Anolis sagrei: one gene and its partners. The protein of the gene in region 1 interacts with the protein of each later gene in a pairwise test. Links are inferred from orthologs where the notes say so. Each region holds a gene or a part of one and is shown on either strand. Other genes may lie near its edges. The genes, in order: WDR4, protein FAM118A and RABGGTB.

Evidence for each region.
Region 2: the proteins of WDR4 (region 1) and protein FAM118A interact in binary tests that used the Homo sapiens proteins (3 or more experiments, as listed by UniProt). The two-hybrid records come from large-scale screens. The link is inferred for Anolis sagrei from reciprocal best matches to the Homo sapiens genes WDR4 and FAM118A.
Region 3: the proteins of WDR4 (region 1) and RABGGTB interact in binary tests that used the Homo sapiens proteins (3 or more experiments, as listed by UniProt). The two-hybrid records come from large-scale screens. The link is inferred for Anolis sagrei from reciprocal best matches to the Homo sapiens genes WDR4 and RABGGTB.

What each region holds. Positions count from the first base shown.
Region 1 is NC_090023.1:75,200,102-75,207,418, forward strand, and holds the start of WDR4 (tRNA (guanine-N(7)-)-methyltransferase non-catalytic subunit WDR4), read right to left. Parts: upstream 3,033-7,317; 5' UTR 2,984-3,032; coding exon 2,808-2,983; intron 1,203-2,807; coding exon 1,140-1,202; intron 769-1,139; coding exon 622-768; intron 1-621. Other genes in the region: NDUFV3 (NADH dehydrogenase [ubiquinone] flavoprotein 3, mitochondrial), read left to right, coding at 5,220-5,267. UniProt on the Homo sapiens protein: Non-catalytic component of the METTL1-WDR4 methyltransferase complex required for the formation of N(7)-methylguanine in a subset of RNA species, such as tRNAs, mRNAs and microRNAs (miRNAs).
Region 2 is NC_090025.1:100,455,482-100,462,714, reverse strand, and holds the start of protein FAM118A, read right to left. Parts: upstream 3,044-7,233; 5' UTR 2,999-3,043; intron 1,433-2,998; exon of another isoform or gene 1,421-1,432; coding exon of another isoform or gene 1,280-1,420; intron 1-1,279.
Region 3 is NC_090024.1:160,845,710-160,853,355, reverse strand, and holds the start of RABGGTB (geranylgeranyl transferase type-2 subunit beta), read left to right. Parts: upstream 1-4,611; 5' UTR 4,612-4,626; coding exon 4,627-4,740; intron 4,741-6,825; coding exon 6,826-6,933; intron 6,934-7,054; exon of another isoform or gene 7,055-7,139; intron 7,140-7,646. Other genes in the region: ACADM (medium-chain specific acyl-CoA dehydrogenase, mitochondrial), read left to right, coding at 1,111-1,182. UniProt on the Homo sapiens protein: Catalyzes the transfer of a geranylgeranyl moiety from geranylgeranyl diphosphate to both cysteines of Rab proteins with the C-terminal sequence -XXCC, -XCXC and -CCXX, such as RAB1A, RAB3A, RAB5A and RAB7A.

The DNA of each region.
Region 1 (7,317 bases):
AAATGCAGAGTAACTGACACAGGAAAATGGAATGACTAGACAATGAGTCCAGATAACATGTTTAACAAGGAGACACTATGAATTTATATTTTAGTGAACTCTTTAGTTTTTATTATATGCTATGTTTTTAATTGTATTTATGACATTGTAGGCATTGATTTTTGCCCTGTTAACTGCCTTGAGTCGCCTAAGGGCTAAGAAAGGCAGTATACAAATATAGTAAATAATAAATAAATACAGAGATGGGGCAAAACGTCAGGAGAGAATGCTTCTGGAACATGGCCATACAGCCCAGAGAACTCACAGCAACCCAAAACACAAAACTATTATCAGGTTAACAAACAACCCAGAACAAACAGCTAAAACACATGTGATTTTTTTTCTTGAATCTATTTCTTAGCTTTAAAAATTCACACCCAATGCCTCTTTTAACCTAAAGCCTTTGGTGAATTGAGAAAGAAATCAAGTGTGGTAAGATTTTGGTCAGGGAGAACAGGGTGACTTGGACACTCACGTCTCTAGTAAGTTGTAAGAAATGACAAAATAAAATCAAAAGTTTATATGAACAGCTGTTCCCACTGTTCGTATTATATTATTTTTCACACACCTTTCTTTCCATACCTTATACTAAGACATTCCCAAGCAGGCTTTGTGCGAAAAAGAATCAGTTGTTTGTTGTCATCAGTCAGAGAAAAATATGTTCCTGATGCAGAAAATGCACAGGCGAGGATATCATGACTTGCTTTACCTGATGACTTTCCATCTTTTCTTAAAAAATAAAATAAAGAGAAGAAAAGAAAAGAAAAGAGAGAGAAAGAGAGAAGAAATTATTTCAGGTCCCATCCATTTAAAGTGAAATAACTTCTAAATGTCAAGAACAGGAACTGCTGCTAATGTTAGGGCAGTACCAGTACTATCGGAAAGCCTATATGTGATGTGATGTGATTATATATATATATATATATATATATATATATATCTCCATTAGTTCACTGTAAATTGAGAAAAACATTTATAAAGGCAAAACTTTCATACAAATAATTCGGGCCTTGATTCATCTTTATCTGTTACTAAACACCTCTAAATGAGATAGCAATTAAAATTATATTTCAAGTAAAGCAAGTTTTTTTCAGTCTCACCCTTGCTTTTCCTGAGGATTCTTGTTGGCAGTGGCACAGTCATAAACAAAAATATCATCATGGCTGGAAATTAGAAAAAAAGATGCAGCGGGTCAGTATTTTTTCATCATTTGTGCTACGTTTGAGCCCTTTTCACCCCCAAAACTCCTAAATTAATAACACCATGTAACAAAATTTGAAAAAAAAAACTGTTCCTGGTTTGAAGGTGTCATTTCCTGTTTAATTGTGCACTATTTACTTTGAAAGTAGTTGTTACACCCCAGAAATTTCATTTTGTCACTGCAGGATGTCCCACGAAAACAAAAGTTTTTGCAGTGTAATAAACTTTTCCCATGCTTTTATGATAGAACTAATTAGGAGATGACATTTACAACCTAGGAACAGAAATCATGTTACACAGTGCAATCCATCCTTGCTTTTTATTACAACGTCAGTATTGTAACTCCCTGTTTGGCATAGGTCTGCTCATGCAAAGCAGGTGAACATAGCATTGAATGAAACATGCAAAATAACCACAGGATGTCTTAAACCTACATCTGTTGATTACAAGCTAGCTGGCACTGCCCCCCCCCCCCGAATGTGCGATAGAAATTGCTGCTAAATGTGAAAGAAATAAGGTTGAACACTGTGAAAGCCATCCACTACATGGCTACCAGCCTCCCCTCAATAGACTGCAATCAAGGAGCTTTATGAGAACTACCACTCCTCTTGGCGTCCCTCCAGCAACAGCAAGGGTATCCCTCTGGGCAGCTAAACCAGGAAATCCCAACTGGATCCCCCCCCCCCCCCCCCCGCAACGGTCTTCCTCCAGGGGCAAACCAAGAATGGGCAACTTGGAAGACCCTGAACAGACCCAGAAGTGGAGTGGGCAGATCAAAAGACAACCTGGCAAAATGACACTACCTAGAAGAATCCCACACTCTATGTGACCGTGGAGCAGAACAGTCATCTTCGCATCTATATGCTTGTCCACTGTGCCCTGCCTCATGTACAGAGGAAGAATTGTTGGAGGCTACAGACAATGCCATTGCTGTTGCCCATTTTTGGTCAAAAGATATTTAGCCGCCTGCATTCCTTCTATTTTTGTCAGTTTTATACTAATGTATGCAATGCTTTTGGTATGAAATAAATAAATAGGGATTGTAACTTGGAAAACAGCAGGGTACACATAAATACATCTGCTATGGCCTCCAGTATATTTTCCATATATAGATATATGGATATAGATTGCATCGGCACTGTGGATGTAATGCAAATTGGCCACCATGTAATGCAATTTGGTTCAATACTGTGGAATCACGGGAGTTGTAGTTTTGCAAGGTCTAACGCCTTCTCAACCAAAGCGCGGTTGCCTCACCAAAGTACAACTCTCAGGATCCTATAGTACTGAGCCATGGCTATTAAAGTGGTGTCACTGCATATATTCTACAGCAGGCCTGGGCAGACTGGGGCCCTCCAGGTGTTTTGGGCTTCCACTCCCACCATTCCTCACAGCCACAGGCCCTTTGCTTTTTCCCCTCAGCCGCTTAAGCAAAGGGCCTGTGGCTGTGAGGAATGGTGGGAGTGGAAGCCCAAAACACCTGGAGGGCCCAAGTCTGCCCAGGCCTACTCTCCAGTGTAGATGAGGCTGCAGTCTAACCCAGAGCCCCTCGCCTCCACGCTGCCCACCTGGGCTCCTTCAAGCGGGCAGCCAGGAGCCTCGTCCCGCCGGTGAGCGCCAGCAGGCCTCCGCGGAGGGCCAGCCCCGGAGGGGGATTCGCACCACGGGTCGCCTCTGCCGCCTTCTCCATCGCGCCCACGTGGAAGGACAACAGAGCCCGGCGTCGCCGGCCGAGTGACGTCATGGGACAGCCTGCCGGAGGAAGCCGAGAGGCTTCGGAAAGACCCGGCGCGCCAAAGAGGTGCGTCTATCGCGTGCGCACCCCCGACTTCCGGTATGATCCGAAATTGGACTTGGGCCAAGAAAGCTCGATTTGTGTACCAAAAGGAACACCTCTCATGATTTTTTTCACCAATATTTTGTTTTTTTTGGTAAAGAGACAAGAGTGTCACCCACACCATAGAGCAGTGGTTCTCAACCTGTGGGTCCCCAGGTGTTTTGGCCTACAACTCCCAGAAATCCCAGCCAGTTTACTAGCTATCAGGATTTCTGGGAGTTGAAGGCCAAAACATCTGGGGACCCACAGGTTGAGAGCCACTGCCATAGAGTTAATGCAGCCTGACACTCCACTTTCACTGCCATGCTTTATAATCCTGGGAGTTATAGTTTGATGAAGCACCAATGCTCTAGGGCAGAGAAAGCTTGAAAAAAAATACAGCTTACTGAATTCCAGCGCACTGGGGGCCCTTCCAGACAGAAAATCCTACAATATCTGCTTTGAACTGGGGGCCCTGCCAGACAGGCCCTATATCCCAGGATCTAATGCCAGGTTTTCTGTTTACCCCAGATTATCTGGTAGTGGGGACTCATAAAGCAGAAAACTTGGGATAAATTCCTGGGATTTAGGACCTGTCTGGAAGGACCCTGGAGACCCTTCAACACAGCCCTATAGCCCAGAATTTCAAGGCTGAAAATCCCACCTTATCGGAGTGTGAATTCATATAACTCAGTTCAAAGCAGATAATGTGAAATTTTCTGCCTTTATATTCTGCGATATGGTGCTGTGAGAAGGGCCCTGTGTTATCTGAGGGCCCTTGAACACAGCCCTATACCCCAGAATATCAAGGCAGGAAATCCCACATTATCTGAGTGTAGACTTAGATAACCCAGTTCAAAGCAGATATTGTGGGATTTTCTGCCTTGATATTCTGGAATATAGGCCTGTGTGGAAGGGCCCTATGTCCACACTGGCATATATTCCAGTCCAAAGCAGATAATGTGGGATTTTATTCAGTTGTGTGGAAGGGGCCTCAGTTATTGCCAATTTAATGCAAGAAAATCTGACTTGATAAAAGATATTGCCAAAAGTGTTGGTTCATTTCTAATGTTGTGAGTGTTACTGAGCTTTAGCTTTCAAGAATGAGCAATGCACTGTCCTGTCTTTATTAAGATTTATAATGAATATGTACGTTTATAAACCAGAATATCAAGGCAGGTAATCCACAATATCTGCTTTGAACTGGATTGTCTCTTTCCACATTGCCATATGATCCAGCTCAACGTGGATTTTATACAGCTTTTTTGAAGGGGCCTGAAAAAGGCCTTCCTGGATCTACCCTGACCCTATAAATGCACTTTGAGGCCCCTTCTACGTGGCCATATAAAATCCAGATTATCTGATTTGAACTGGATTATGTGCCAGTGTAGCAGAGGTCAGAAACTATATGGTCAGGGTAGACCAGGCATGGGCCAACTTCAGCCCTCCACGTGTTTTGGACTTCAACTGCTATAATTCCTAACAGCCGCTGTCCAAAACACCTGAAGGGCTGAAGTTGGCCCATGCCTGGCATAGACCCATGCAATGCAATTTAATTGGATTGAAATGCATTGTAAAAAATTATACCTGAAACAAAGTGTCCATACTGTTGAAAAGTGTCACGGTCTCAACCACCCATATAGATAATTATGAAGTGTTTCGATAAGAGATGCTTGACCTATACAAAGAAAGGCACCACCACCACCACGCCCCATACAGGCTGCTTCTATACTGTATAATTCAACACCCCTTTAATTGCCATGACATCAAGGGAGACGTGGTTTTTCAAGACCTTTCACCTCCTCCAGCAGAGACTGTTGTGGTGCCTCACCAAACGACAACTCCCACCATTCCTCTACATTGAGCAATGACAGTTAAAGTAGGGTTAAACTGCACTAATTCCACAATGTAGAATTCAACTCTCGCCTGCCAACCTTACACAAAAGAAATGAACAATTGTATTTATTCATCTGCAATCTTTAGGCTGCTTTTGCAGACACTGAAGGAAGAAGGAAACCCCTGCAGCAAGAAAGAGTCGCTTTTGAGGGACTCTGGACGAGTCATGTTCAGGGAAAGGCCACAGATTCAGGCGGAGCACTTAAGAGGCGGAACCTTTGTTCTGTGACTGAGGTTGCAACGGGGAGAATTTTAGTGGGACACCAAGATGGCGGCTTCTCTGTTTATTCTCTGGGGTCGCGCAGCACCGTTCAAGGTAATACAGGAGGAGGCAGAGAGGAGAACAGGGCTCTTTTGTATCACTGGAGGCCCCTCCACGCAGGCATATAATCCAGGATATCAAGGCAGAAAATCCCACAATATCTGCTTTGAACTGGGGGCCCTTCCACACAGCCCTATATCCCAGATATAGTCAATAGTAAGGACATCTAGGCTGCTATGAGTTTTTCGGACTTATGGCCGTGTTCCAGTAGCATTTTCTCCTGACATTTCTCTAGCATATGTGGCTGGCATCTTCAGAGGTAATATGCCAGTAAGGGCATCAGCCTAGAAGTAGCCTGGCCTTTGTTCACTTTGAATTGTTTATGGCCTGGAGACATCCTTTGTCTGGGTGGTGTTCACTAGACTTTGGTTGCTTGCTGCATGGAGACTGCCTGTGTTTGGGGGGTGTTTATTAGTTGCAGTCTTGATCCTGGTGTTTTTCAATACTAGTAGCCAAATTTTGTTTATTTTCATGGTTTCTTGTGCTTGTGGATTTCAGTGGCTACTCTGTGTGGTGTGACAAAATGGTTGTCATAGTGTTCCAGAATTTCAGTATTCTCAAATAACATTCTGTGCCCAGTAACTTCTAGGCAGATACCCTCACTATTGACTATGCAATCTTCTTAGGCCCCTTCTATACTGCCATATAAAAGCCAGATTATCTGCTTTGAACTGGATTATTTGCCAATGTAAACTCCTATAATCTCAGTTCAAAGCAGATAATATGGATTATCTGATTTTGTAATCTGGATTATATGGCAGTGTAGAAGGGGTCTCAGTTACTCATATGCTAATGGAGGGATCCCACTCAAAACTTGCAAATCAAGCATGCTAACAGCACCCTTCACATTTGGTTAATAGACATTGGATCTTTCTCTCACCCTGGATGTTCTACAGGTATATATACTCTACTTGCCCTAACACCACCAGATCCTCTGAAGATGCTAGCCACAGCTGCAGGCAAAATGTCAGGAGAAAAAGCTGCTAGAACACGGCCATACAGCTGCACACAACACTCCCACACTGAACAGATATTTGGAAACATTTTATCAGATTCCGGTTTCACTGTGTGGATGACTAAACTGAGGGCCATTCCACATAGCCCTATATCCCAGAATATCAAGGTAGAAAATCCCACAATATCTGCCTTGAACTGCGGGCCCTTCCACACAGCCCTATATCCCAGAATATCAAGGCAGAAGATCCCACAATATCTGATTTGAACTGGGTTATCTGAGTCCACACTCAGTTAATGTGGGATTTTTCTGCCTTGATATTCTGGGATATAGGGCTGTGTTCAAAGGTCCTTAGTTATCTGAGTCCACACTCAGATAATGTTGGATTTTCTGCCTGAATATTCTGGGATATAGAGCTGTGTGGAAGGGCCCTGAGGCTGGATCTACACTGCCATATACTCCAGATTATCAAAGCAGATAATCTACATTATCTACTTTGAACTGGATTATATGACTCTTTACTGCCATATAATCCAGTTCAAAGCAAATAATCTGGATTTTATATGGCAGTGCAGATGGGGCCAGAGGCTCCTTCAACACTGCCTCTATATCCCAGGATCTGATCTCAGATTATCTTTTTATCCCAGATTTTTTGGCAGTGGAGAGTCATATATCAGATTTAAATCAGATAATCTGGGATCAGATCCTGGGGTATAGGGCAGAGTAGAAGGGGCCTCACTTCTAGGTTTGAAGCCAGGAGAGTGATTACATTTACAATATAACCTGGTTTCAAACCACTCTGTGGCATTTATTTTTGCCATTTCCCAGAGAGATATGCACCAGTGCTCTAGAGGCATATGAGATAGGGGGAAAGAGGAAGTGATAGTTTGGAGTAGAGATAATCGGTTATCCTTTCCAGGGGGTAAGTTTGGCTCCTGTTGCTAAGCCATGTCCTTGGGGCATTTTTGGCAGCCTACTTGCTCATCCTAAATTCTCCAACCTTTCTCAGAAAGACAAGTATTTGCAATGCATTCCACATTCTGCAGATTCTTTTTCATCATGCAATGTGGTTTACATTTAGAGGCTTGT
Region 2 (7,233 bases), on another chromosome or scaffold:
ACCAAAGGAGTGACCATCACTCAAAAATTGATTTTGTAATTTGGGAGTTGTTGTTGCTGGGATTTATAGTTCACCTACAATCAAAGAGCATTTTGAACTCCACAAACAATGGAATTGAACCACACTTGGCACACAGAACTCCCATGACCAACAGAAAATATTGGAAGGGTTTGGTGGGCATTGACCTTGAGTTTTGGAGTTGTCGTTCACCTACCTCCAGAGAGTACTGTGGACTCAAACAAGGATGGATCAGGACCAAACTTGGCATGAATACTCAATATACCCAAATATAAATACTGGTGGAGTTCGGGGGAAATACACCTTGACTTTTCGGAGTTGTAGTTCCTGGGATTTATAGTTCATCTACAATCAAAGAGCAATCTCAACGCCACCAATGATAGAATTGGGCCAGATTTCCCACATAGAACCCCCTTGACTAACAGAAAATACTTTTGTTTTCTGATGGGCTTTGATGACCCTCTGACACCCCCTTACGACCCCCGAAGGGGTCCCGACCCCCAGGTTGAATAACACTGGATTAATGGGCTGCTAATTGAGAATGCTCAATGTTAAGTATTAATGTTAATGCTTAATGTTAATGGAGCCCCTGGTGGCGCAGTGGGTTAAAGCACTGAGCTGCTGAGCTTGTTGATCGAAAGGTCGCAGGTTCGATTCCGGGGAGCGGCGTGAGCTTCCGCTGTCAGCCCTAGCTTCTGCCAACCTAGCAGTTTGAAAACATGCAGATGTGAGTAGATCAATAGGTACTGCTCCGGCGGGAAGGTAACGGCGCTCCATGCAGTCATGCTGGCCACATGACCTTGGAGGTGTCTACGGACAACGCTGGCTCTTCGGCTTAGAAATGGAGATGAGCACCACACTCCAGAGTCAGACATGACTGGACTTAATGTCAAGGGACTACCTTTACCTTTACCTAATGTTAAGGTAAAGGTATGGGTAAGGAAAGGAAAGGAAAAAGGAATCGAGAAAGGAAAGGAAAGGAAAAAGGAAAGGGGAATAGAGAAAGGAAAGGAAAGGAAGGGAAAGGAAGGAGGCTCTCTGGGACCAAAGCAATGGGGTTTTTGCCTCTCCCCAAGGACGGAAAGGGCAGGAGAAGCTCAACGGACACGGCCTCCAGCTTAGCCTGAGAAATGGGTCAAATCCTGCAAAGCCTCCCTTCCTGCCTGGATTGCAGATCAGATCGAGAGCGCTGGCTCCCTTCCTTCCCTCCTTCCTTCCTTCCTTCCTTCCTTCCTTCCTTCTTCCGCCCGCCTCCCTTTACCTGGCCCCGCTGGCGGCTGCTCTTCCTCGGCCGGCTCCAGCCAGCGAGAGGACCGCAACTCCTCCTCTTCCTCCGAGGCTGGCGACAGTGTGAGAGAGAGCCTCCTGTCTGTCTCGAGGAGCCGCTGCACGCCCAAAGCATCCTCAGGTCCCAAAGCAGGCCAATTGCGCGCGCCGCTGGCCAGCCCCAGTCAAGCGGGGGTCGCTGACCAATCCGGGCAGCCGCATCTCGGAAGCTAAGCCCCGATTGGTTGGCTGCCTGGATTGTTATTCTTCTGCTCGCTTGGGTACCCGAGGATATTTGGAAGAGACCTCACTACCCAGAGGGCCCAGAGAAAGACATTACTAGCATAAGCTTTCAAAAATGTTTACACTAGAGATGTCTTTCCCTTAATCTCAAAAGTACTGCTAGACTCCTTTATATTTTTTTCTGTTCAAACTGACTGCCAGGCTATCAAATGCTAATCAAGGTGGTCACTTGAAACATTCACACCTAGCTCCAGCAGACAAGAGTCCTTTGTCCCACTCTGGTCTTTCCACAGATATATAAACCCATTTTCCTAGTTCCAACAGACCTCACAACCTCTGAGGATGCTTGCCATAGATGCAGGCGAAACGTCAGGAGACAATGCTCTAGAACAGGGGTCCTCAAACTAAGGCCCGGGGGCCAGATGCAGCCCTCCAAGGTCATTTATCCGGCCCTCGCTCAGGGTCAACCTAAGTCTGAAACGACTTGAAAGAACAACAACAACAACAATCCTATCTCATCAGCCAAAAGCAGGCCCACACTTCCCATTGAAATATTAATAAGCTTATATTTATTAAAATTGTTCTTCATGTTAATTATTGTATTGTTTTAGTGTTTTTGCATTACAAATAAGATATGTGCAGTGTGCATAGGAATTCATGCATGTTTTTTTTTTCAAATTATAATCCGGCCCTCCAACAGTTTGAGGTACAGTGACCTGGCCCTCTGTTTAAAAGGTTTGTGGACCCCTGCTCTAGAACATGGCCATATAGCCCGAAAAAACCTACAACAACCCAGTCAGTTTTTTAGTGGAACAGAATGCATAAGGTTGTGGGTCAACTACAACTCACATTGTGCCAGGTTAAGCCCGAGAAACTCCATCAGTACTTAAAGTTTGTCATTTTGGGCAAGTATGCTCTGGATGCGTCATCGGTGGTACAAAATGCTTTACTAATAATATCTATCTAAATAAAAATGTAATGTTCGTTTGTGCGATTAACAGAACTCAAAAACCACTGGATGAATTGACACCAAATTTGGACACAAGACATCTCTCAGGCCAACGAGTGACCACCACTCATAAAAACACTGAAAAACACAGCAGAAGGGACTAAAAAAGCCAAAAAAACCAAAAAAAATCATTACAACGCACTCCATGCCACACTGTACATCCTGGTGCGGTTTGGAGAAGGATGCACCATGAATGATGGGACTTGCCATACCTGCACTCCCTTTCTGAGACCATTACATCTGCCAACAATGATAGATCAGGACCATAATTCACACAGAGAGCCCACATGACCCACTCTACATCCTGGTGCGGTTTGGAAGAATTTGGATATGGATGATGGGACTTGAAGTAACTTCACTCACTTCCTGAGAGCACTGAGACCCTCGCCAATAACTGTTCAACATCCTACTGCAGTTTGGAGGAGGATGGACCATGAATGATGGGACTGTAGTGAATCATACCTTGTAGGCCGAAGCCAAAGCCTTTAGAGACAGTGAGCCGGCCTCCATCTTGGTGAGGGAAATACAAGGAAAGCCAGATCAGCAGAGGGGAAGAGTTTAGCTGCCCCAGGATTGGCTAGGACAGATGGGAGGAGCTGAAGCTGTCAGTGTAAAAGGGAGGCAGGCAGCTTCTGGAAGAGAGAGAAGTGATTGAACATCAGACAGAGAGAGAAGGGATTTTAAGGGAATTGAATTTCAAGCTGAGGGAAGAGGGTAGTTTGAGGGTGAGTGGAATATTTCCTGAGGGAGAGTGTTGGAAAGGCAGGTGTGGCTATAGAGTGGCCTGGAGAGCCAAATAGCCGCTTGTGGACTGGTGTGAGAGGAAACCACACTGGTTGTTATACACTTTAAAGATCAGAGTATTCTAGTGGGATCTAGATACGCTGAGGGAAATCGCTCACATCGAAGAACAGATACACAGTTGAGAAGTTCAGCAAGCTTGTTAAGTCTTAGTAACTGTTTAAGAAGATTGTGCTGTGCTGACCATATATGCTTTCGTAATTCAAAGAAGAATCCAGATGTTTGTTCTAATATATTTAAATAAACTTTATTCTAGTTCAACTTTACAAGAAGTCCTCACAGTGATTCATTTCATTAAGCCTGTTCCAGTAGAATTCTAACATCTTTTCGCCTCAGACACATTAGGGAGAGTTAAGGAAAGGGCTGTGGCACTCTAAGCTTTACCTCACACATAACATCAAGTTATATTCTCAAAAGCTATTTGAGTGGTGGCAGTAATATCTTAAAAAAAACACATAGAGCTTTGTGACAGGTGTCCAGTTGGAGCCTAAGAAGACAAAGTCCTTTACTCTGTTCCTTCAAATTGATACCAACGGCCAAAGGGGTCATCCAATCTAGTTTACATTGGTGACCAGATGAGAGCAATATAACAGTAGAAGGAACGGGTGCGTGTGTGTGAGCTAGGGAATACATTTGAAGCATTATTCCTTAGAGTTCCGGCCAACCGTTGCAATCTGGTGGCAAGTGGTGGGATAAAAAGGTTTTCCACCCTGCCAACGGCTGATCGGTTACTTGGTCCTTTAGAAGCATGTAGTACCATCACTCACTTACCGAAACCACTGCGACCCTAATCCAATGATTGATCAAGACCAAACTTGGCACACAGAGCCCCCATGACCCACTCTACATCCTTGTGCTGTTTGGAAGAGGATGGGCCATGGATGATGGGACTTGCAGTACCTCCACTCACTTCCAAAGACTGCTGCAATCCACATCTAATGACCGATCACAGAGCCCCTATGAGCCACTCTACATCCTGGTGCTGTTTGGAGGAGGATGGACGATGGATAATGGAACTTGCAGTACCATCACTCACTTTCCGAAAACACTGTGACTCTCATCCAATGTCTGATCAAGACCAAACTTGGCACACAGAACCCCCATGACCCACTCTACATCCTGATGCTGTTTGGAGGAGGATGGATGATGGGACTTGCAGTATCTTCACTCACTTCCTGAAACCACAGCGACACTCATCCAAATACCAATAAAGACCAAACTTGGCACAGAGAGTCCCCATGGCCAACTCAACATTCTGGTGAGGTTTGGGGGAGAACAGACTATGGATGATGGGACTTGCAGTACCTTAACTTACTTTCTGAGACCACTGTGACCCTCATCAATGACGGAACAAGACCAAACTTGGCACACAGTGTCCCCATGACCACTAATGCTTTCCAAAGTTCTTTGTCAGCACAGAGATAACATTCAGATACAATCCTTAATGGACTGGATAATGGAGAAAGGCAGGGAGTTTCAGAAAAACATCTATTTCTGCTTCATTGACTATTCTAAAGCCTTTGACTCTGTGGATCATAATAAATTGTGGCACGTTCTTGGTGGGATGGGCATACCAAGCCACCTTGTCTCTCTCCTGAGGAATCTGTACAAGGACCAAGTAGCAACAGTCAGAACTGACCACGGAACAACAGACTGGTTCAAGATTGGGAAAGGCGTATGGCAAGGCTGCATACTCTCACCCAACCTTTTTAACTTGTATGCAGAACACATCATGCAATGTGCGGGGCTTGATGAATGCAAAGCTGGGGTGAAAATTGCTGGAAGAAACATTAACAACATCAGATATGAAGATGACACCACCCTGATGGCCGAAAGCGAGGAGGAGCTGAGGAGCCTTCTAATCAAGGTGAAAGAAGAAAGCGCAAAAGCTGGGTTGCAGCTAAATGTCAAAAAAAAAAAAACCCCAAGATTATGGCAACAAGAATTATTGACAACTCAAAAATAGAGGGAGAAAATGTGGAGGCCATGACAGACTTTGTATTTCTAGGTGCAAAGATGAGTGCAGATGCAGACTGTGGCCAGGAAATCAGAAGACGCTTACTTCTTGGGAGGAGAGCAATGATCTCGATAAAATAGTAAAGAGTAGAGACATCACACTGGCAACAAAGATCCGCCTAGTCAAAGCCATGGTATTCCCTGTAGTAACCTACGGATGTGAGAGCTGGACCTTAGGGAAGGCTGAGCGAAGGAAGATCAATGCTTTTGAACTGTGGTGTTGGAGGAAAGTTCTGAGAGTGCCTTGGACTGCGAGAAGATCCAACCAGTCCATCCTCCAGGAAACAAAGCCCGACTGCTCATTGGAGGGAAGTATACTAGAGACAAAGCTGAAGTACTTTGGCCACATCATGAGGAGACAACAAAGCCTAGAGAAGACAATTATGCTGGGGAAAGTGGAAGGTAAAAGGAAGAGGGGCCGACCAAGGGCAAGATGGATGGATGGCATCCTTGAAGTGACTGGACTGACCTTGAAGGAGCTGGGGGTGGTGACGGCCGACAGGGAGCTCTGGCATGGGCTGGTCCATGAGGTCACGAAGAGTCGGAGACGACTGAACGAATGAACAACAACAACACAATCCTTAAAGGAAAATGGCGATGCAGCCGGAGCCACGACTCTTCACTGGCTAATCATTAAGCAGCACAATTAGAGAAGAATACTGACAACAAACTGATAAGTCACTGCCAAATCACTCTTATCTCAGAGGGAGTTTTGGACTTAACCAGCAACACTCCATTAATCGACCTAAAGAGAAATAAACAAAGAAAAAACAAGAAGGGTGAGAAAACAAGCTGACCTGTTTAGCCTTCTATGGCTTCCGGAAGCTGAAGCAGTATTTGTATTATAACTTGTCCTACAATCGTTGTTATGGTTTCAGCAAAGCACCATTCTACTACTGTTTCTCTACTACAGGGTGGAAGGCTGTAATTTCCTCTCCCTGCCTGCACTCCTAACCCTGTGGCTGCAGTTTAAAACAATCCTTAAAAGCTTCTATAGTTCTAACATAGTTTTGTGCTGCCTGATACAACTTAGACAATCCATGATTAATGCATTCTTTTAATGTTTTGGTCTATGGAAATTACCCTTTTAAACAAAATATACAAGATATAATAGTGTCGAGATCTGACCCAAATATTTGTTTCTTAACTTTGCATTATAAAGAAAACAACCATTTTTCACAGAATCATAGTCAATACATCACTGTTAGATTAAATTCCCTTCTTCAGCAGCTTCTTCCCTCTGAATATCTGGTTTGCTTTGATCGCTGGCCACTGTTTTGCCTTCTCCTTTCTCCCTTCGATTCTTTGAAACTTTAGTTGCAAAACCTCTATTTAAATGGAGCTGAATTATCTTTCGTTTGTTTTATTAATCCACAATATTTGTATCACACCCGGGAGCTCCGGGGAATGCTGTCAGCCGGCCATTCTCCTTGGCCATGCTGCCCTTCCCTCTTTTTCCCGCTTTGAGCCCATCTTTAAATCTCTTTTCCTGTCCACCAACGTTCCATTTTCCGTTCTTAAGTTCAGAGTAGAGCAACTGCTTTGGGAGACAGTGGTCAGGCATCCGGACAACGTGGCCGGCCCAGCGGAGTTGATGTTGGAGGACCATCGCTTCAATGCTGGTGGTCTTTGCTTCTTCCAGCACACTGACGTTTGTCCGCTTGTCTTCCCAGGAGATTTGCAGGATTTTCCGGAGGCAGCGCTGATGGAATCGTTCCAGGAGTTGCATGTGACGTCTGTAGACAGTCCACGTCTCACAGGCATAGAGCAGGGTTGGGAGGACAATAGCTTTATAGACAAGCACCTTGGTCTCCCTACGGATGTCCCGGTCCTCAAACACTCTCTGCTTCATTCTGGAAAATGCTGCACTTGCAGAGCTC
Region 3 (7,646 bases), on another chromosome or scaffold:
TAAGTATCCTGTATAATGCTGCTGTCTTAAAGGATTCATAGTAGTAGTCTCTTAATATACAACATTTTGCATGAGACATAGTAGTTCAAAAGAAAAGTTTGACTTTTTTGTAAAGATTGTGCATAATGCAAGAATTGTGCCACCAGTTGTTTTATGAGGAATTATCGTAGAAGAGATTGCATCCTTAAAGGTGGCTCTTGCTATTACCAATGTGTGTATTAAGAACTAATAATAAAAGAAGAAATAGTAGTCAAAGACATGCTGTTTAGACAGTCAAAACATTTGTTCTTGAACTAATAAATCTAACTGATTGAAGAGTCTTTTTGTAGGGTAATGCTCTCTTTATTTTAGTAGCAGTTATCCCTCTGTAACTTCTTTGTACCTATGCTGAGTGCTTGTATGCACATTAGCTGAAAAATAAATTCTACTAAATTCAGTAGTACATAAGTCTGACGAAGACTTCATAGGATTGCTGTCTTAGACTTGAGTATACTTGTAGATGATTATATACTGTGCTGTTAATGTTTTGTCAGATAGCTTTGATGATATGCAGTCAGTTTATATGAAAACTAAGCATATCAGTGTTATTTATTACAAATTGTATATGCATTTGTAAATGCACCCCCCAAAGTACTACAAAAGTACCAATAACAAAAAAAATATACTGATAGAGAATAGTGTTTGCCACAGGGATATTGGTTGTTATAATTCAAATGATGGCAAAACAAAATATCAGAATATGGTTTTATACATTCCAAAGGGTTTGTATCTGTTAAACAACAGTTCCCATATATAATTTTTTCTTCAAAGCAAGAGGACTTTTAAAGTCGTTTGTGATGTACTATTATCTGGTTTCAGTGTAAACATTTCACTGAAAACATCAAAGTATTTAGAATTTGTGCAAAGAAGCTTTCTGGACCCCTTCCATTATGTTCAGCCTTGAAGTGATTAGTGCACATTATGTTACCCCCATAACATATTTTGCAACTTGAATTTTGAATCATTTGGGTTGTTATCACTTCCAAGGTTTATCTTGTTTTCACTGAAATTCTGTATAGTTGCAGAGTGGTCCAAGTGCACATATTACTTATTAAATATTTTCTCTTTCAGATATATGAAGGAACAGCACAGATTCAAAGGCTAATTGTAGGCCGTGAACATCTTGGCAGATTTAAAGGTTGAGAGAACACGGAAACCATATAGTTAATGCTTGAATTCCTAGCATGCATTAACCCACTTCCGCAAACACTTGTTTCCACTCTATAATGTTAAAAGAAAAATTGCCTCTATAGTAGAACATTTTTTCAATGACATATCTGTTTCTTATTTTTAATACATAAAAAGCTGCATACTTAACAATTAAAAAAATTAGCCTGGAAATTTTCTCAGGCATTACATGTCAGTACTGTATGCTTTGCTAGAATGTTAAGCTTTCACTTGGCTTTAAACTGACCCAGATTGTTATGCTTGACTTCTGAAGTCTACTCTGCAATATCTTTCAAATGCCTGGAATCTGAAAATTTAACTGTTTCAGTGCCATATGTAAGATCTGATATTAGCCTCAGCAGTTTGGGTTACAAATACCACAATTGTGGGAAGAGCTATTAAGTATCTTTCTGTGTAGTGGGAAATTGTGAATTGTGAATTGAAATTGTGAGTTTATCACAGTTTATACCAATTCTGTGAACCTGTTTGCCTTTTAATAACTACGAAATGTTACAGCAAGCTAAAATATGAGGTGTATATTGCTTGCAGTGATACCAGATAAGTTGTCCATAGGTTTACTGCGAACTTGCCATTCTATGCACAAGGCTTTTAAGTATTTAACATAGTAATGTAAAATACTATGTCTTTTTGTAGCTCAGCAGCACAGAGAGAGAATATTAAATCTGTTTCAATTGTGGCCATCACCCACTTAATTTAAAGCAGTGCCTTTATAAATCCATCCTAGTGCTTTTAAAGCAGTGCCTCTGAAGAAGCCATCCATTTTGATGACATTATAATTATTTATCTAAAATAATTCTGTTTCTTTGTAAATTGTTAATAGTTTTATAATCAATTTAGTGTGTGGCAGATGTAAAATAATTGTGAGGCTTGTTTTGAACATTATTTGAGTGTATTTAATGATGACAGTGCCTTTGCAGTTGCTTAAAGTGAAGCAGCTAAATGGTATTTGGTAATACTCAAACATGATTAAAAAATTGCCATACAATGCAATATTTCTATTAGTAACATTTAAAGTACTAGCATTATTTTTATTAGCTATAGTATTACATTTAAAGCTAATTCCTTTGTAACCTAGACTGTGAATATTTTTTGGCAATGAAATGTTTTTATTTTTAAAATTTCTCAAAGGATGTGGCTGAATGTATTGGTGTCAACACTTCAGTTTTACTTCAGTTCAGTTACACATTTGACACAATTGAATACTTTCTAGTTTATGGAGTTGCTTGTCACTTTGGATGTTGAATTGCGATACCATCACAATTGGTTTGCTGAGTAGATGCAAGACTGCTGGAAGCTGCAACATAACTATATGTGGAAAGCGTTGCAATTCCCACTTCTGGGTGAAAAAAAATGTCAGGAAAGGGTAAAAAGAAAATCTGTGTTTGTTAGTCCTATATCTATGCAAGTATACTATTGAAACATTTTGAAATGGAATATTTCATATTGCAACCCCGGTTGGAATGTACCAGAGGAATAAATTAAACAAAGAAATAAATGGATCAGTGATTGTGCATTGTGTCTGGTGCCCAAATGATATAATTTGCCAGATTTTGCTGTAAAATGCTTTTGAAAAAATGACTCTCCTGAGTTCTATCTTGCCATAGTTTAGATAAATTCTTGTTTTTTTTGTTTTGTTTTTTCATTTTAGCCTTCAGTTTAAGACTTCAGCTTTACTTCATGACACAGTGTCACTGACCATGTTGGCTTTCATGGAAAGTGAAAAAAATATTTATGTCTTAATTTCGAGTTATTTTGTGAATCAAGGATTAGGAAGAGTTCAAGTCTCATATATTGGAGATTGATAAGTCAAAACTCTATCTTAGTTATTGAAGTTTAAATGTAAGATGCTTGCACCCTCTGAGATTGCATTTGTGCAGTGTAATTAATGCTGTTACACCATTTTAACTGCTGTAGCTCAATGCTGTGGTATCATGAGAGTTGTCGTTTTACTTGAACTTTAACCTTCTCTGCCAAAGAGTGCTGGTGTCTCACCAAATTACAACCCCTGTGCTCTTTTCCTTCCCCGAATCTGGAAGAACAGAGTCCAGTTTGTTTCCCAGCAGTAAAGCGTCCATCTTTCATCTTTTAACAGTCAGACTCAGGTTGGAGGCATGCTTTTCCCTGTCTCTGGGCAACAGGCTGAGGTCAGCAGAGGATGTCTCAGGCCCCTTCCAAACAGTTGATTAAAATCCCACATTACCTGCTTTTGAACTGGAATATATGGCAGTGTGGACTCAGATAACCCAGTTCAAAGCAGATATTGTGGGATTTTCTGCCTTGATATTCTGGGTTATATGGCTGTGTGAAAGGGCCTTGAGTCCTTCCTGCCTGTGCCCTCTGTGAATGGCAGGAGAAGGAGTCCAGCAGAGAGAGAGGTGCTTCTCGGCCTCCTGAAAGAACGTCAGGTCCCTTCTATACAGCTGAATAAAATCCCACATGACCTGTTGAACTGGAATATATGGCAGTGTGGACTCAGGGCTCTTCCACACAGCCCTATATCCCAGAATATCAAGGCAAAAAATCACACATTATCACGCATTATTCTGGGATATAGGGCTGTGTGGAAGGACCCTCTGATAACCCAGTTCAAAGCAGATATGGTGGGATTTTCTGCCTTGATGTTCTGGGTTATATGGGTGTGTCAGAGCCATGGCTTAATGCTGTGGGATCCTGGGAGCTGTAGTTTTATACGGTCTTCTGCCTTCTCTGACAAATTGTGTCGGTACTTCATCAAATTATGGCTCCCAGGATTCCATAGCATTGGGCCAAGGCTGTCAAAGTGGTCTCCAACTGCATTAAATCTACTGTGTATATGCAACCAATGTTGCCATAGCTAACACTTCTTAGGACTTCACAGAAGATAACCCGGTAAGTTTGCAGAGACTCCCAGGTTTATGGCATTTAATGTGCCAGTGGGGCAGAGGATAAGTAGGCGTGGAGTCACAGTATAGAATGAATGTGGTCTGAAACCGCTTTGTCTGCTATGGCGTATTGTGAGTTGTAGTTTTGCAAGGTTTTTAGCACTTAAGTGAAGAGTGTTGGTGCCTCACTGAACTACAACTCCCATAATTCCATTGTATTGAAGCATGACACTTAATCCTGCAGAGGCTCCCAATGAGCACTGGGCGAAGCAGGGGACAAGCAGTGATCCTTGATTGAGCGAATACTGTGTAGTGCTTGATACAGGGGACTGAGTTCATTTCAAAAATCTACCGTGTATCGGTGTCAATAACACGATCAACCAGTAAAACCATAACCGAATGTCGATTTAGTGTACAAAACAGGGTCACAACTCGCGTATATTTGAGCTATAGAGGAAACACCCTTGAGAGGCCCAAGATGCGCTCGAAAGGCGATAATGAATTTTAGTGAAGGAACACAGGCAATACTTGGGCAGCTATGACGGGGTCCTCAAGCACTGGAGGCGGATGCGTGCGTCCTTTGCGCCCCGCCCTTTCAAGCGACGAGCGCGCGCAGGCGCAGTCGGCAGGCTGCGACGGATGTGCCAACATGGTAAGCCGCAACTTGCGTCTATTTTCGCTTCAGGGTGGAGGTGATTTTTGTAACTCCCCTCCCCCCGCTCGCGCCGTGTTAATTCTATCTTTCGCCTTTTTTGCTCTTTATTGCCCCTTCCTTTTTTTTCTACCCGTAACGGATAGAGTGGGTTTTCTGAGAGTCTCGAAGGGCGGGGGGGAGAAAATAGGAAGGGAGGCGGAAACCAATAGAACGGGTTGGTGAAAACCTGGGGGGGGGGGGGAGGAGCCAGAGGCTAGGCAGTGATAGGTCAGTTCTGCTGCCAGTCAGAGAAGAGTTACGGTGTGGGTCACGTGAGCGCGCAGGCTCGCGCCTGAGAGAGAACCACGAGGTCAAGTCGGATCGAACTTGGTGGACCGCTTCTCAGCTGCCCACTTTTGCCCCGCCTCTTCCGGTTCAACGTGGGGAAGGGTTATTTTTTTTTTAATTGCATTGTCTCGCTCTGAGCCTCGTGGGCGTCGGACATGGCTCCCTCCTCAGGCTCCATGTATGGCCACCAGTCGCCATTCTCCTGCTCAAACTACAGGTTTATTTTTATTTTATTATTATTTATTTATATTTATTATATTATATATTTATTTCTATCTCGCTTTATTTCTCAAAGCGGCTCGCAATCAAGTTAAAATATACAACAAAACGGTATAATATCTTCGTATATTTTATCAGTAGTATTATAGTTAATATAATAATATATTAGTACTATTATACATTACAATATTATATGTTATGTTGTATTACAAGCCTTATATCGCACTGTAATATTAATATATATATATATGTAGTATATTATTTACTTATTCCGACATTTATATGCTGCCCTTCTCACCCCGAAGGGGACTCAGAACGGCTTACAAGATATATATTCATACAATATATATAGTACAATACTATATTGTACTATATCATTGTATTATGATATTATTAGTAATATTACATGTAATATAAATATATAATTATAATATAATATTCGTATTATTTTGCATTACGTTATATTATAAATATATGTATATACAATATATTATATTACATTATATTAATAGCATAGTAGTATTATATTGTAATATATTATATTACAATATTGTTATAAACTATTATATTGTACTATACCACAATACTGTAATATTGTTAATAACATATCATATATAATATACAATTATATTACATATTGTGCTAAGTTGTTATACCACTATATGTATACTACCAGTATATTATACTATTAGTATTACATAATATGTTGCACCATATCATAAGTTGTAGTATAGGTTGAGTAGTCATTATCCAAAATACTTGGAACCAGAAAGCGTTTGAATTTGGGGGGTGGTGGTGGTGGTATATATTTGCATATATATCCAGAAACCCAGAATTAAATAGAAATGAGTAAGTTACATAAAAAGATTTTCAGGGCCTGACCTATTTATTGACTCCACTTAGGAAACTATATAATGAACAAGTGTTAATTTCTCATTGGATAAGGACCCTGGGCAGATTCTAGCCTAAGTTGAAGAGAGAAATAGTATAAAAATGATTGTTCTACAGCCTCCATAAACTAGGCTAAAACTCTTGATTATACAGGGTTAGTCAAAATGCATAGGCCAAACATACATACAATTGTATGTATGTTTGGCCTATGCATTTTGACTAACCCTGTACTTTGTAACACAATTTTTGTAAATGCCATTTCCTACTTAGTTCTATCATAAAAAACATTTTCCTATAGCTTTTCAATGAATACCAGCTGTTAGGATTACCGGGAGTTGAAGGCCAAAACATCTGGGGATCTACAGATTGAGAACTACAGTTCTATTGTCTTCTCAAACTTCTTCAGTAAATTGAGAGTGAGCAACATGTGGCCTCTGCCCAGTCCCAGAACTGGTGCAAGGAATCAGTTCAAGCTCCAGACCACTAGGTGGAGAGGTAGAGGGAAACTATTTAGAATCTACTAGAAGCTTTAAGTAGGCATGTGTTTGCACAAGTATTGTTGCAGCCTTCCAAATTAGTTTTAGATTGTGACATAGAATTCATATGAAAACCATTCTGAAAATAATTGAATAATTTTATTTTAAGGGAACACCACAAAAAGATGTCATAATAAAAAATGATGCACCGGCTACATTGTTCTTAGAAAAGCACGCAGACTACATAGCTGCTTATGGAACAAAGAAGGATGATTATGTGAGTATCATGTTTAATGTGCATTCAGTTGCCTTTATTTCTCTTAAAATAGCTTATAAAATGACTTAAAAAGATGAGTAAAAGAAAAACTTATCAGTCTATGAATTACAGATGTTTTGCAGGTCAATGATGTAACACTGGCATGTATTATCTGAGTCCAAAGCTGAAGATTTAGCTCTTTAGCTCTAGAATTACACTGAGACCTAAAAAACAGCTGTAAAGAGGATTCAACCTTTATGTGGTCCTCCTCCTTCATAAAATAATTTGATTTAAAGATGAAGGGCTGATGTTAAATAAGTAAATGTTAACTTTCATCAGCATGACTCAATGACTAATTCTGTGTTTGAAAATAGCAATACTTTGTAATGTATTATATCTATTGAAACCTTAGAGGCATTTTAAATTTAAAGATATCACTGTATTCTTAAAAAAATAGGACTTCCTCAATGTTTTGCTAAATAAATGTCTGCATCCCGTGTTTTTTGAAAATTCACTTTACATTTAAAAAAAGGTTTAGTTCTTTGGAAGATGTAATTTTGTAGGATTTGTGTACTTATCTTCCCTGACTTCTGTATTTTAAAAAGGCAAGGAAGTACAGTAATTCTCTTGCAGTAAATACATCTGGTGCTATGTTACAGCTAAATATAAATATAAAAGTAAAGAAAAAGTATGTGAAATCAAAGTTGTTTAAAATACCTTTGCTAATAAAAATA